Oryzias latipes: one gene and its partners. The protein of the gene in region 1 purifies or fractionates together with the protein of each later gene. This does not show direct contact. Links are inferred from orthologs where the notes say so. Each region holds a gene or a part of one and is shown in the gene's direction. Other genes may lie near its edges.

The links.
Region 2: the proteins of fgfr1op (region 1) and cep350 purify together in Homo sapiens (affinity purification with mass spectrometry; 6 studies listed by BioGRID and IntAct, counting the BioPlex papers as one, with this or other methods). This does not show direct contact. The link is inferred for Oryzias latipes from reciprocal best matches to the Homo sapiens genes CEP43 and CEP350.
Region 3: the proteins of fgfr1op (region 1) and cep78 purify together in Homo sapiens (affinity purification with mass spectrometry; 3 studies listed by BioGRID and IntAct, with this or other methods). This does not show direct contact. The link is inferred for Oryzias latipes from reciprocal best matches to the Homo sapiens genes CEP43 and CEP78.

The regions. Positions count from the first base shown.
Region 1 is NC_019882.2:22,955,121-22,959,478, forward strand, and holds the start of fgfr1op (FGFR1 oncogene partner), read left to right. Parts: upstream 1-1,512; 5' UTR 1,513-1,582; coding exon 1,583-1,666; intron 1,667-3,519; coding exon 3,520-3,573; intron 3,574-3,644; coding exon 3,645-3,699; intron 3,700-4,358. UniProt on the Homo sapiens protein: Required for anchoring microtubules to the centrosomes. Required for ciliation.
Region 2 is NC_019862.2:32,109,012-32,113,097, forward strand, and holds the start of cep350 (centrosome-associated protein 350), read left to right. Parts: upstream 1-1,225; 5' UTR 1,226-1,568; intron 1,569-3,853; 5' UTR 3,854-3,866; coding exon 3,867-3,942; intron 3,943-4,046; coding exon 4,047-4,086. UniProt on the Homo sapiens protein: Plays an essential role in centriole growth by stabilizing a procentriolar seed composed of at least, SASS6 and CPAP. Required for anchoring microtubules to the centrosomes and for the integrity of the microtubule network.
Region 3 is NC_019867.2:7,056,250-7,059,088, forward strand, and holds part of cep78 (centrosomal protein of 78 kDa), read left to right. Parts: intron 1-116; coding exon 117-181; intron 182-278; coding exon 279-372; intron 373-1,252; coding exon 1,253-1,370; intron 1,371-1,493; coding exon 1,494-1,536; intron 1,537-1,664; coding exon 1,665-1,814; intron 1,815-2,332; coding exon 2,333-2,410; intron 2,411-2,536; coding exon 2,537-2,718; intron 2,719-2,839. UniProt on the Homo sapiens protein: Centriole wall protein that localizes to mature centrioles and regulates centriole and cilia biogenesis. Involved in centrosome duplication: required for efficient PLK4 centrosomal localization and PLK4-induced overduplication of centrioles.

The DNA.
Region 1 (4,358 bases):
CAATAGTTTCATTGGACAAACTCTCACAGAAAATCTCTTGCTAGGCAAAATTAACAGGAATGACCTACTTTAGAAATGTAATATAACTTCAGTAGAGAATTGAGAACATTATATCTTTAACTTTCAATCCAACCTAAAACTAAAGAGACACACTTCATGAATGACATTTATCCATGTCAAGACACATGAAAGAAAGGTTTCCTTTCCTCCTAGTTTACCAAACATCACTATCAATAATTTACATTTATGTCAGAGATAAAGCACGACGACAAAATGGTCAAAGATGAAAGTATTTCCTCTGCTTTGAAAACAATATGGTTCTACTTCAAGGAATTTTCATTTATATTTTTTATTAGAACTTCAAAAGATCACATAAATTTTCACATGGATAGAACAGAAAGAAATACAAATGTAGACAATAATAAAATACAACATAATAAAATAAAATTAGAATTGAGCCTAGTACAAATGTCATAATATAATATTAAATTATGGATTGTTATACAGCATGTTATCTATCATGAAAATGGATAGTTTTCTTGCATTTTTGTTTATCATAAATGTCAGTGATTGAAAATATAATATCTCTTTATGAAATGTATTAAATAATAGTTTTATTGCTAAGAATCTGCTTTTATTAATGAAAAAATTACCAGATATTAATAGTGTTTTAAATGCCAAATTAAATAATTTATCACCAGAATTTACTCCAAATAATACGATGTGTTTTTGTAGCTGAATAAGAATAGGAAAAGGAGACTTTGAACAGCACCAACAAAAAAACTCCCCAAAACTGTTATAACATAACATATACAGTATACATTCAAAAACAGATGATCAAGTGTTTCTATATTGATCTCATAAAAATAACAGTTATTTTCTGGAAAACCAAAGCGTAGTTCATGGTTATTAAATGGATTTCTTTGTATTTTGCAAAAATCTGATATTTAATAAATTTAGATCTAAACTTGCACATTTCCTCTTATGTGAAATGATGAAACAGTTCTCTAACAAAGACTGTTTAATGAGTTTGAAAGTTTTGAATAAAGCGATTGACCATCAAACAACAGAGATGGAAGCTGAACTTGAACATCATGAACCAGACTGGAGGACATTTGGACCAAAGTCTGAGGGATTGCTTTGATCACATTGTTATATTGTTTTTCTATAATTTAATTTAAACTTACAGGAAACACTTTTAAATTAAATAATGTTTCCATTATAATTCATGATGTGTGATAATGACCAAATACCGTTATCAATCCAATTTTTGTAAAATATTGATTTGTTATCCCATAAAATCTACCAACAGTTACATATGGGAGAGTTGTGTTTAAATATGAGTTTCCTGATGATAAGTACAAGTTTAACAGAAAGATTTCTGTAGTCAAAAATCACATTTTAGCATGAACTCATTACCCCCTAAATGAGAGATCAACTTGACGGTGTCTGGAGGCTCCAGCTCCTCCAGGGCGACAGGGGGCGCTCTTAGTTTAACGCAGAAGGAGAAGAAGAAGAAAAGGAGGAAGAAGAGACACACACACACACCTGCGGTTTTCTGTTAGCATAGCTTCAGGTGAACATGTCTGCTGCGGAAGATGACACGGAATTGCGGGACCTGGTGATCCAGAACTTGGAGAATAGTGGAGTCCTGAACAAGATGAAGGTGCGCGGATCAAATCCAAACAGAACGGTTGTCTGGTTCGTCAGCGCTCTCTGCCGGGCTGAACGTTACGTTGGCTTTATGCACAAATCCTAATTTACGCATGCACAAAGCAAGAAGAATATGCATACACACAAATCCTAATTTACGCACAAATCAAGAATTACGCACGCACAAATCCGACTGAGTCTAATTTCTCTCCATACAAGGCCATCTAGTGCCCTGAAATTTAAAAGCAGTTTGGACACCATGATGCTCGCTATGTTAATATAAAAGATTTTCATAATCATTTACTGTTAAACCTGAAGGTCACTTTACTTCTGCTTGAATTTTACTTTTGCTATTTATTAAGTCTTTTTTTGCTGCTGCAGACAAAATAATTTCCCCATCGTGGGATAAAGTCTTAACTTATCTAATTACTTCTTCTTCTTTTTTTTTCAAACAGCGAAGTAAAAATCTCATTGATAGGAGTGTTTTGCGACGATCATTTATGAATCCACTGAGTTCTGAAAATGAAAACGTTGATGGTTTATTAAAAAAATACATTTAAATGCAATTTTTTCGCAAAAATTGTTCAAGCGCAATGTATTGTGGTCTTTATTTGCCAATCTAGTGAGCATCGAATGGACACTGGTTTTGTTCAGAGATTTCTGGGAAATTTCTTAGGCACTTGATTTTGGAATAGTAGATTTGGACAGCACATCAGAATGGTGAACACACTATATAGTGCGTATTGAAGGAATTTGGACAAAGCCTAAAATTCCAAAATCCACTGCTCTGGAAATTTCCCACAAATTTCTGCAAAGAACTAGTGTTCATCTATGTTAACAAGGATGGCAAAAATAGACCACTGTCAGGAGTCTTCCTGGATGCTGCACACCTGACTCTTATTCATTCAATCAACCACAGCAAACTTAAGCTCCGCACTGAGTGAAGCTCAGTGCAAAGTATAGTTCCTGCCTTCATTACTGTGCGTTATATCTGGACTTGATCTTATGTCTTCTGACCCTGACTCTGTTTGCCTGCCGCCTGCCCCGACCCTCGCCTAGATTTTGACCACCCTGTCTCTCCACTGATGATCTTATGCCTGTTATCAACTCCTGCCTGCTTGACCCTGATTTAGCTTTGTGGACTTTTAGCTGAGCTAATAAAGCTGCTGCACTTGGATCCAGCCGTCGGCCTGTTCTTGTCACAGACCACAATGCGTTGTGTTTGCACAGTTTGTCATTTGAAAAAGGTTATGTAAATTTAACGTATGGATTCATACGTTGTCTTTGTTAAATATTCAAATCTATTAGGTTTTTACTTCTGCAAACTGATGTTATAGGTGTTGTTTTAAAAAAGAAAAAAGTGACTCTGAATTGCATCAAAATCTAGATACTGGATGGTCCTGCACTTTGTAATCATTTAGGGTTAGGGAGAAGTGAGAGAATGCAGACATAGTCCATGCCTGCTGGAAAAATGTTCTTTGGACAGATGAGACTAAGTGATGAAGAGAAGACCTGCTCAGCTTCAACCAAGTACAGCATTCAAAGAAAAGATCCTTATAACAACTGTGCAGCACAGAGGTGGAAGTGTCATAGTTTTGGGATGCTTTGCTACTGCAGGACCTGGCCACCTCACCATCAAAAAATCTGTCATAAATGTTACCGTGTGTCAGGTTAAAAATTAAATGGATGGATAGATAGATACTGAATGACTTTATTGCCCCTCCTCCTTCTGCTGTACTGACTTTGTTTCAAACATTTGGTTAGAACTGAAGCTGCACTTTGAATTTAAAGAACTGTCAAAAGGAATGTTGATGGATTGGAGATGAAGGGCGGCTCTCATGCTGCTGCTTGTCTTTGCTCCTGCAGGCGGAGATGAGGGCTGCAGTGTTTCTGGCCATGGAGGACCAAGATAGACTGGAGGTGGGCCTTGGTCCTGAGTGGACTCTCCACTCTTGGCTCCTCTCTCACCTGCTTTTCCTTTTCGTCTTCAGAACAAAGTCCCGCTCGTCAATGAAAGCCTAAAGAAGTGTCTGAACAGCAGAGACGGTGAGTTTTGATGCTGTGGGCTCTGAGTGCTGGCTGCTCTAAGCCAACAAGAGGAATGGAATCAGTATGAACTCATCATGAAAAAGTTGGATAGAGCAGGGTCACATAAACCCACTTTGATTATTGTGAAAGGTACAACAGTTTAGGAGGGGGAAAAAAGTTTGTTGTCCTCAGTGCCGTCGTTTAATAATGTCGAGCCTCTGGTAGCCCAAATAATCTGTCATAATCAGAGGAGCACACGATCAAAAACCTGATCTGATTAAAAAAAAACTGGCTAATCATTCATCACACTGAGGCAGAGAGAGAGTAGGTTACTGATGTGAAAGAGGGGCGGGGAATGGCCATGCCTCTCTGCTGCTGCCCGTTGTCTCCTCTCTCCCCCTAGCAGCTACTCACCGGGTCCAGCTCTGGTCTTTAGAGTCAAATCAGGATCATCTTAAAGTGAATGAAAAACCAGATTGAACATTATGGAAAAATATTTAAAGACTCATCCCTCCTCTGGTGTCGGCATAGAGCCGACCAAAAAAACAAGGGTTTTCCATATTTTCCGGTCTTCTGCAAGAAGTATCCTTCAGTATCCTTCATATCAACCCCATGAGGTTTAACATCTCCTACAATGACGTCTGTCCACCAAGGACGGGGTTTGCCTTGAGGTCATT
Region 2 (4,086 bases), on another chromosome or scaffold:
CAAACCACAAGGTGGCAGAAAACAAAAACTAGGACAACCTTGTTTTTAAGTTCATGCCTCATAGTCATCAATTAAAGTAATTATGTGTGAATTTTCATAAAGTTAACATAATAATCCGAACATAATTTTCTATGAGCGCTTTTTCCAACCCTTTTCACCATAGTTTCATATCATAAACACATACAGTAATACATGGAAACACTTAGCAAAATGTAGTACATTTAAAATCAATTTTTAGAACAGTAGAATAGTATAGAATAGAATTGAATCAATTGAATAGAATTTACTGTAAATGCCAGCAGGATTTAAATTGTGGGTGGTTTCAAAAGCAGCAATGCACAGGACAACGGTGAGTAAAAAAAAGAAATAAAAACAATCAAAAAAACAGCACAAGGCAATTTGAAAAATACAGGAGACAAAATAATAAATAGATTAAGAATAATTAATAATAGTAAAACTACTATGGACAATGCATGTGTAGTATAAGAAGAATACTAACTGAATACTTATTCAGACTAAATTGGAACATTTGAAGTTTACATCATAAATGAAAAGTAAACTTCAAGTATACCTTCTCACTCTTAGTATCTATAGACAAATTATACTTGTTGAACAACTGCATAGATTAATTTTTACAAAGGGTATATCTTTGGTCCTACATTAAATAAGAAAATAAAAAAGAGATAACTTGGGACCATGTTATTGTATTATCCACCCAAACTCACAATGCATTGGAAAACTTTGCAAAACATATCCTCTTGTTGGAGTAAAAACTGTTACTTTAGTATCATATTTCATAGTTTAAATCTCTTCTCCAAACTAATAATTTAGGGTTTTCTTTAATATTAATTAAATATCACCATGGTCTACCTGGAATAACATAGTTTGTATTGAAAAAGTATGACCCTTTATTTAGATTGTTATTGATCTGCTTTATTATTATTAATTTATTTATTACCAACATGAAAACGGTGAAAATTAAAGAAAGACTCTCAACAACAAAATATAATGATACTAATTATTATTATTTCTATCATGTGGGAAAATAATACTATTTTGTAATATGATACGAACCAGTAATCACGCTGAAAATATTTAAAAGTGTATTTTAACGGTGGGTTATTGGGTTTGCTGCGCTGTTGTGCCTACATCGTTTCGGACATGTATGCGGAAGTGTGGTTCTCGATCCGGTCCAACTCTCGCGATACTTTGGGCTCAGTGATGTTCCTGTCCTAGATACTACAGTTGTGCTGTTGGGAAACATCAACATAGTAACCCGGGGAGGGAGACTTCAAAGGCAGCTCTGGGTGACTCTTTGAAATACATATGCCTCTCAAATTCGGCATCTTTTAGCACTGAAAGCGCCAGAGTATTTCTAAATTTCTCATTTGGAGAAACTTGTAGTTTATTTGGCACAGCTGTTGGTAAGCTTTATTGCTAATGTCAGCTGGCTAATGCTAACGTTAGCAAACAGATAACGGCGAAACTGAGGAAGTGCAAAGAAGTTCTTAACATGAGGACATCGGCGACAAACTGGACTTCTAGACACACGACATCGTTGCCCTAAGGTAGGTATTTCTTTCTTGCTTAGCAAAATGTATGATTGTCCTGTCAGCTAACGTAAGCATGAACTTTGAGGAGTTGGCGGCTACGACTAATCCCCGGACCGGAGACATTTCTGAAATATTTAACATTGAAGTCAGCTGTTTTTATTTATATTTTTTATTTAACGATTTGATAGAACATACTGTTGGTCTTGGTTTGAAGACAAAATGTCTAATAAAACCTAAATATTTAACACTTTCCCCCCACTCAGTGACAGTTGATTTAAGTGTTAAGCCGGCATTTCGGTGACAACTTTAGCTTTTTTCCCCCCCGGTTCTTCCCGAACATTTTTGATACTGCCATACGATTTGTATCTTTATAATCTGTCTTTACGCTGTGGGGGTGTGCTTTAGTTTAACACATATCATCAGCTTTTTTTGAACGATAATTCAGTTGTTATGCCATTCAGATTTTGGTGCTTATCGAAAGGTAAAGTGTTTCGAGATGTTTGTGTTACATGAAATATAATGTATAATTGAACAAACTGAATATAATTACTTTTATTACGAGGTGTATGTCGGTACTTGAAACACTTTACATGATTTATTTAAATATTTAATGGTAAAGTAAATCCAAAATACAGTTTTTTATATAGCAATTACATAATTTGTCCATAGGTGGCAGCAGTGAGCCTAGGATGCTGCGTGATAGCAACTTACAACAGTAGCGAAGAAAAGATCTACACGTTTTTGGTTTAAAATCGCTCACAGTTCAAATACAGTGAAGTGCTTTTGTCCACTAATCGGCATCAAAACCTTGTTTTTAAATACTTTAAACTTTCATAATCTTAACGTGGTTGTTTTGTTTTCTTTTAGACTATTTTTGCTTGTAAATGCAATATTTACTAAATCAAATGTTTGACATTTACCATAATAGGAAACTGATGGTATGTTTTCTCTTACGAGTCTACTAAGGTAATTTCCAAACTATGGAAGTGTTTTGAACATTTCTCATGAGCCATGCTAATCAACTATTAGAATACCTTCCTTCTTGGGGAAACTTCCTTAATCTACAGATAGTTTAGAAATACATACCAGTACCTTTTTCTCTCTAATTGCACAATTACTTCTGGATTTTCTTCTGTTTTGAGTTTACAAACAGATTTGTAATGCTTTATGTAGAAGTTGCTGATTTACTGTCTGCACTCTTTGTTAGAGTGGATGATAAAAAAAAAGTCAGTGTTGAGTTCAGATCGCCAACTTTGAAAAAGACTTCAATCAAATCAAATCAGCCTTTATTTATATAGCACTTTTACAACAACACATGTCACTCAAAGTGCTGTGCATAAAATACAATAAAATTTAAAAAACAAGATGACAAGACAAACAGTGACGAACCCCCCACCACCCACCCACACACACAGACACACCATGATAAAAAGAGTGATAAAATGATGGAATGTAGAGACCTGGCTTCGTCCTGAAGCTTGTTTCTTGTTTCTATTTTGTAAATGCTTTTTCTTCCAGAGCCGTGTGTGCACTTGGATAAAAGCACACATGGAGTCTGAAATGTGTCTGTAGAGATTCTCAGTCATAAACGTGTTATCACAGGGATAGCTTCTTGAAGAAGCTACTTGGATGTGCGATGTCTTTTAAATTGCCTTAAAAGTCCAGTTTCTCCAAAGAACAAAGCAAGAAAGAACAGCTACCGGTGTCTGAAATGAATGCCCACAACACAAGGGGTTTAAATACAGAATGGTGTGAAAAAAACTCCATTTTGAACATGCAAATTTATATCTTAAATCTTTTTATCAGGTATGGGGCTCGATACACACATAAAAGGAGTTGAACTGATATCTTTTGGACTCTGTAAAAGCAGTTTACAGATAACAGTGGCATATGACGAGCTTCACTGGTGCTTTAAACATTGTCTGCTGTGTAACTTGTGCTTCAATGAGAAGAATGTTCTGCAGTGGAACCAGTTTTGAATGCTTCCTTGGTAACACGCTTACATATTTGTCATGTGTGTAATGCCACAGATTAACACCTGTTACATTGTATGTACTCAAATGACCCTGCATGAGAGACTTTGACCGATGCTAAGCATTCACATCCAAATCATGTTGTTGTTGTTATTTAAATAATTTTGGCATTGGCTTAAAGGGCTTGTTGCAGTTTTCTTCAATGTGGGTCAACTGTTTGCTTTTGCATAACATCCTTTTGTACTGTGAACTATTGAACATAAGGTATACTAACACAAAAAATGTACACATTTGTTGTCACATTGTTTACCTTAATACTGGTTACAGGTGAAAGGGAGAAATGAGGAGGGGCAGGAAGACTGATGGGCCTCCGAAAAGCTTAACTCAGCTGTTTACTGATAACAATATCACCACAGGTAGGGGTATTAAAAATGCACTTAACCCCCATATTTTAAATTTGTTTGTTTTAATTTAAACTCTTAAAATAATTCTCACTTCGTTTGTGATTTTTTAAAATCAGAATTAACAACTGCATGGAGAGGTTTGGCTCAGTCCAAAGC
Region 3 (2,839 bases), on another chromosome or scaffold:
CATTTAACTACTCATTTATAAAAGCCTCAAGATGTGATCAATTATTTTTATGATTGCATAATTACTCTGTAAAAATTAGGATTTTGGGGATGTTTTAAGGCATCATTTCTCCACAGATAAAGCTTTGATGAAAACGGTGATAGAGAAAGTAGAAATGAATGCAGACGGGCAACCACTGGAGGTTAGTTTCTGGAAGTAATGTATTTTTTAAAATGCATCCATATGTTATTTTATATATAGACTTAAGCCATAGCTTTTAATATTTTATTTTGTTGCAGTACCACTGGATCAAGCCGGCTGCTACAGAATCGCAGAGAGTTTCTTCACTAAGCAAACTTCACTCAGTCAGAGAAAAAACTTTGTTTAAAAAAGGTATAAACATTCCCTCCTTTTGAATCCTCCTGCAGTCTGTCCAGAGCGAAAGAGGGATTGGTTTGAGGCTTCAGAGGAGTCAAAAGGTTAGGGGTGTGGTTACCACAATAGGAGACAACTGCAAAGGAGATAGAACCTCTAACAGGCCCACTTAAGTTTGAGGGAGGAAGTCTCAAACAGCTGTTTGTTTAATTTCATGGACCCATTTTAGTTGACTGTTAAGTCAAACACGAGAGCAGATCCATTTGTCATGATCTGCGTTATATTCTGTTTATGTGGGCGAGTCAAAGTTTCATTTTTAATTACAAAGTGGCGTTTATTTTTGTCAGGTAAATCAAAGGTTTTGCTATTTCCAATTCCTGTGATTGAACAGTTTGTTCTGCAAACGGTTCCTTACATCAACTTGTCTGTGTAATGTCTTTTGTCATCTCCTGAGAACTTAAAGACGAGAAGAGAATATGTTTACTGTATGATCTTTTCTGACTAATGTAGCTAAAAAAATTCATAGAATTCAGATGAACTGCTATGGAATGAAGAAAGTTTTTGCAGAAGTCAAGACAAAATTAGGCTTTAGATTTATTTTAAAAAAATTAAAGACTTTTTAAAGGATTAAATATCAGCTAACTTGAAGTTGTTCTTATCTTTTTATTGCTCACTGGTACAAATATAAAGAAAAACAGGGTTGCTTATTTTTTTAATAGTTTTTTTCTTTAAAAGTTTATTTATAAAGTTGTTTTGTTTTTTTTATAATTGTCAACAATCTGTGTGCCAAAATCTGTCCACCCTCTGAAGGGAACTTCATGTTTTTGTCTATTTAAAGTATCTTATCTCTGTATTTACAGCTACAAAAACTCTTGCTTTCTTTTCTTTCCTGCTCCAGTCACTGCTAAAGGCACATCTCCCGGAGGTCGATGTTCGGGTGAATCTAGGACAAGAATCAAGAATTCCCGCTCCTGCTCTATCCCATGGCGGGCTGCTGCCCGAGCCGGGCGTCAGAGGTGAGATGTCAAACTCTCAAGTGAACCAACCAGAACAATTAAATGAAAGTTTACTTATTTAAAGCACCGTTTGGATGCATTAGTCATGTGAAGGCTTCAAGATGGGTAATGCCTTTTTTTCAGAGGTCTGCCTCCTGGAGTAACAGTAACAGACCACAGTTTTCAGGTATTTTTCTTTTCTTTACATAAAAGGGAACAGAAAAATGTCAAAACATTTTCCAAAACAATGAAATATTAAGCATTCAAGAGGCTGCGAGTCCTGGTGTTTATTATGCTGTTTTAATGTTTCATTAGGCTGCAGCTACTGTAAAAATCACGGTGGAGGCCGATTCAGAAGAAGAGGGCAATGATGATGAACAGGAGGAAGTGGCGGCGGAACCGGATCAGAGAACATCTTTTTATTTCCGGGACAGAAACACTGAACGACAGTTTGAGCGCCTCCAGGTTGGTCCAATCACACTTACATACTGTTGCTCCAAAAATGATTTGATACTCCTGTTATATTAGATGGAAGTAAGAGTAATTATTGTTTGACAGATGAATAAAGGTGGAAAGTGCAGATATTTACAGTGTGAAAATGTTTAGTTCAGATTATACTTTGTAATTTGAATGTGGTAAATTATTTACTATAAACACTGAGCAGGTTTATTTAAAAGCTAAGTAGAGTTTGGGTTTTATTAGAAGTATGTGTAAATATTGAAATATATATGACTAAGGCTTAATAAATGCAGAATATAAACATTTATTCTTGAAATGTGCGTGCATTTGTGTCTGTGCTTTAGAGACACGGGGTGATTGGGGAGAGTTAGGGATTAAGGGTCAGAGTTCATTGGGGACACTCCACTTCCTCAGTCAGCTGATCCCTGTTGAAACCTTTAGTTTTATCTCAAAAACAGGATTTTGGGGGTAAATTGTTGGCTTTTTAGTCTTCAGCTGATTGTGGTATGGTGTCCATCCCCTAGATGGAGCTGAAAGAGTATCGTCTCAGGCTGGCAGAGGAACGCAGGGCCAGGCTGAAGGCTGAGTCAAGACTATTGGAGGTCATTTTTTGTATTTCTGCTTCTTCATTAGTTATAACAAAAAAGAAACTCAAAAATGTACAGTAAGTCAGACGTATTGAGGTGATAATGCTCCCCTTGCTACACTGTCCTCTTCTTTCCGGACAGTTTGAGTTGGAGAGTGCTCGCCTTCGTGATGCCAACCGCTCCCTGACAGAAGCCCTTACAGCCGCTCGCTCAGCATCAGCACCGTCTGCTTTCAGCGCTTTTGAAGATGAGGCGGTCCTTCAAAGCATTGAGAACTCGTTCACTAAGTTCCATGCTTTCCTGGATCTCCTTAAAGATGCTGGGTGAGACGCCACCTGTTTTGTTTTATCCATAAATGACATGTAGCTTGGGTAAATCTGTTCACTTCTGGTGTCACAGTTTTCTTTACTTTTGGCTGGAGTCCTTTTAGAATTTTTTGAATAA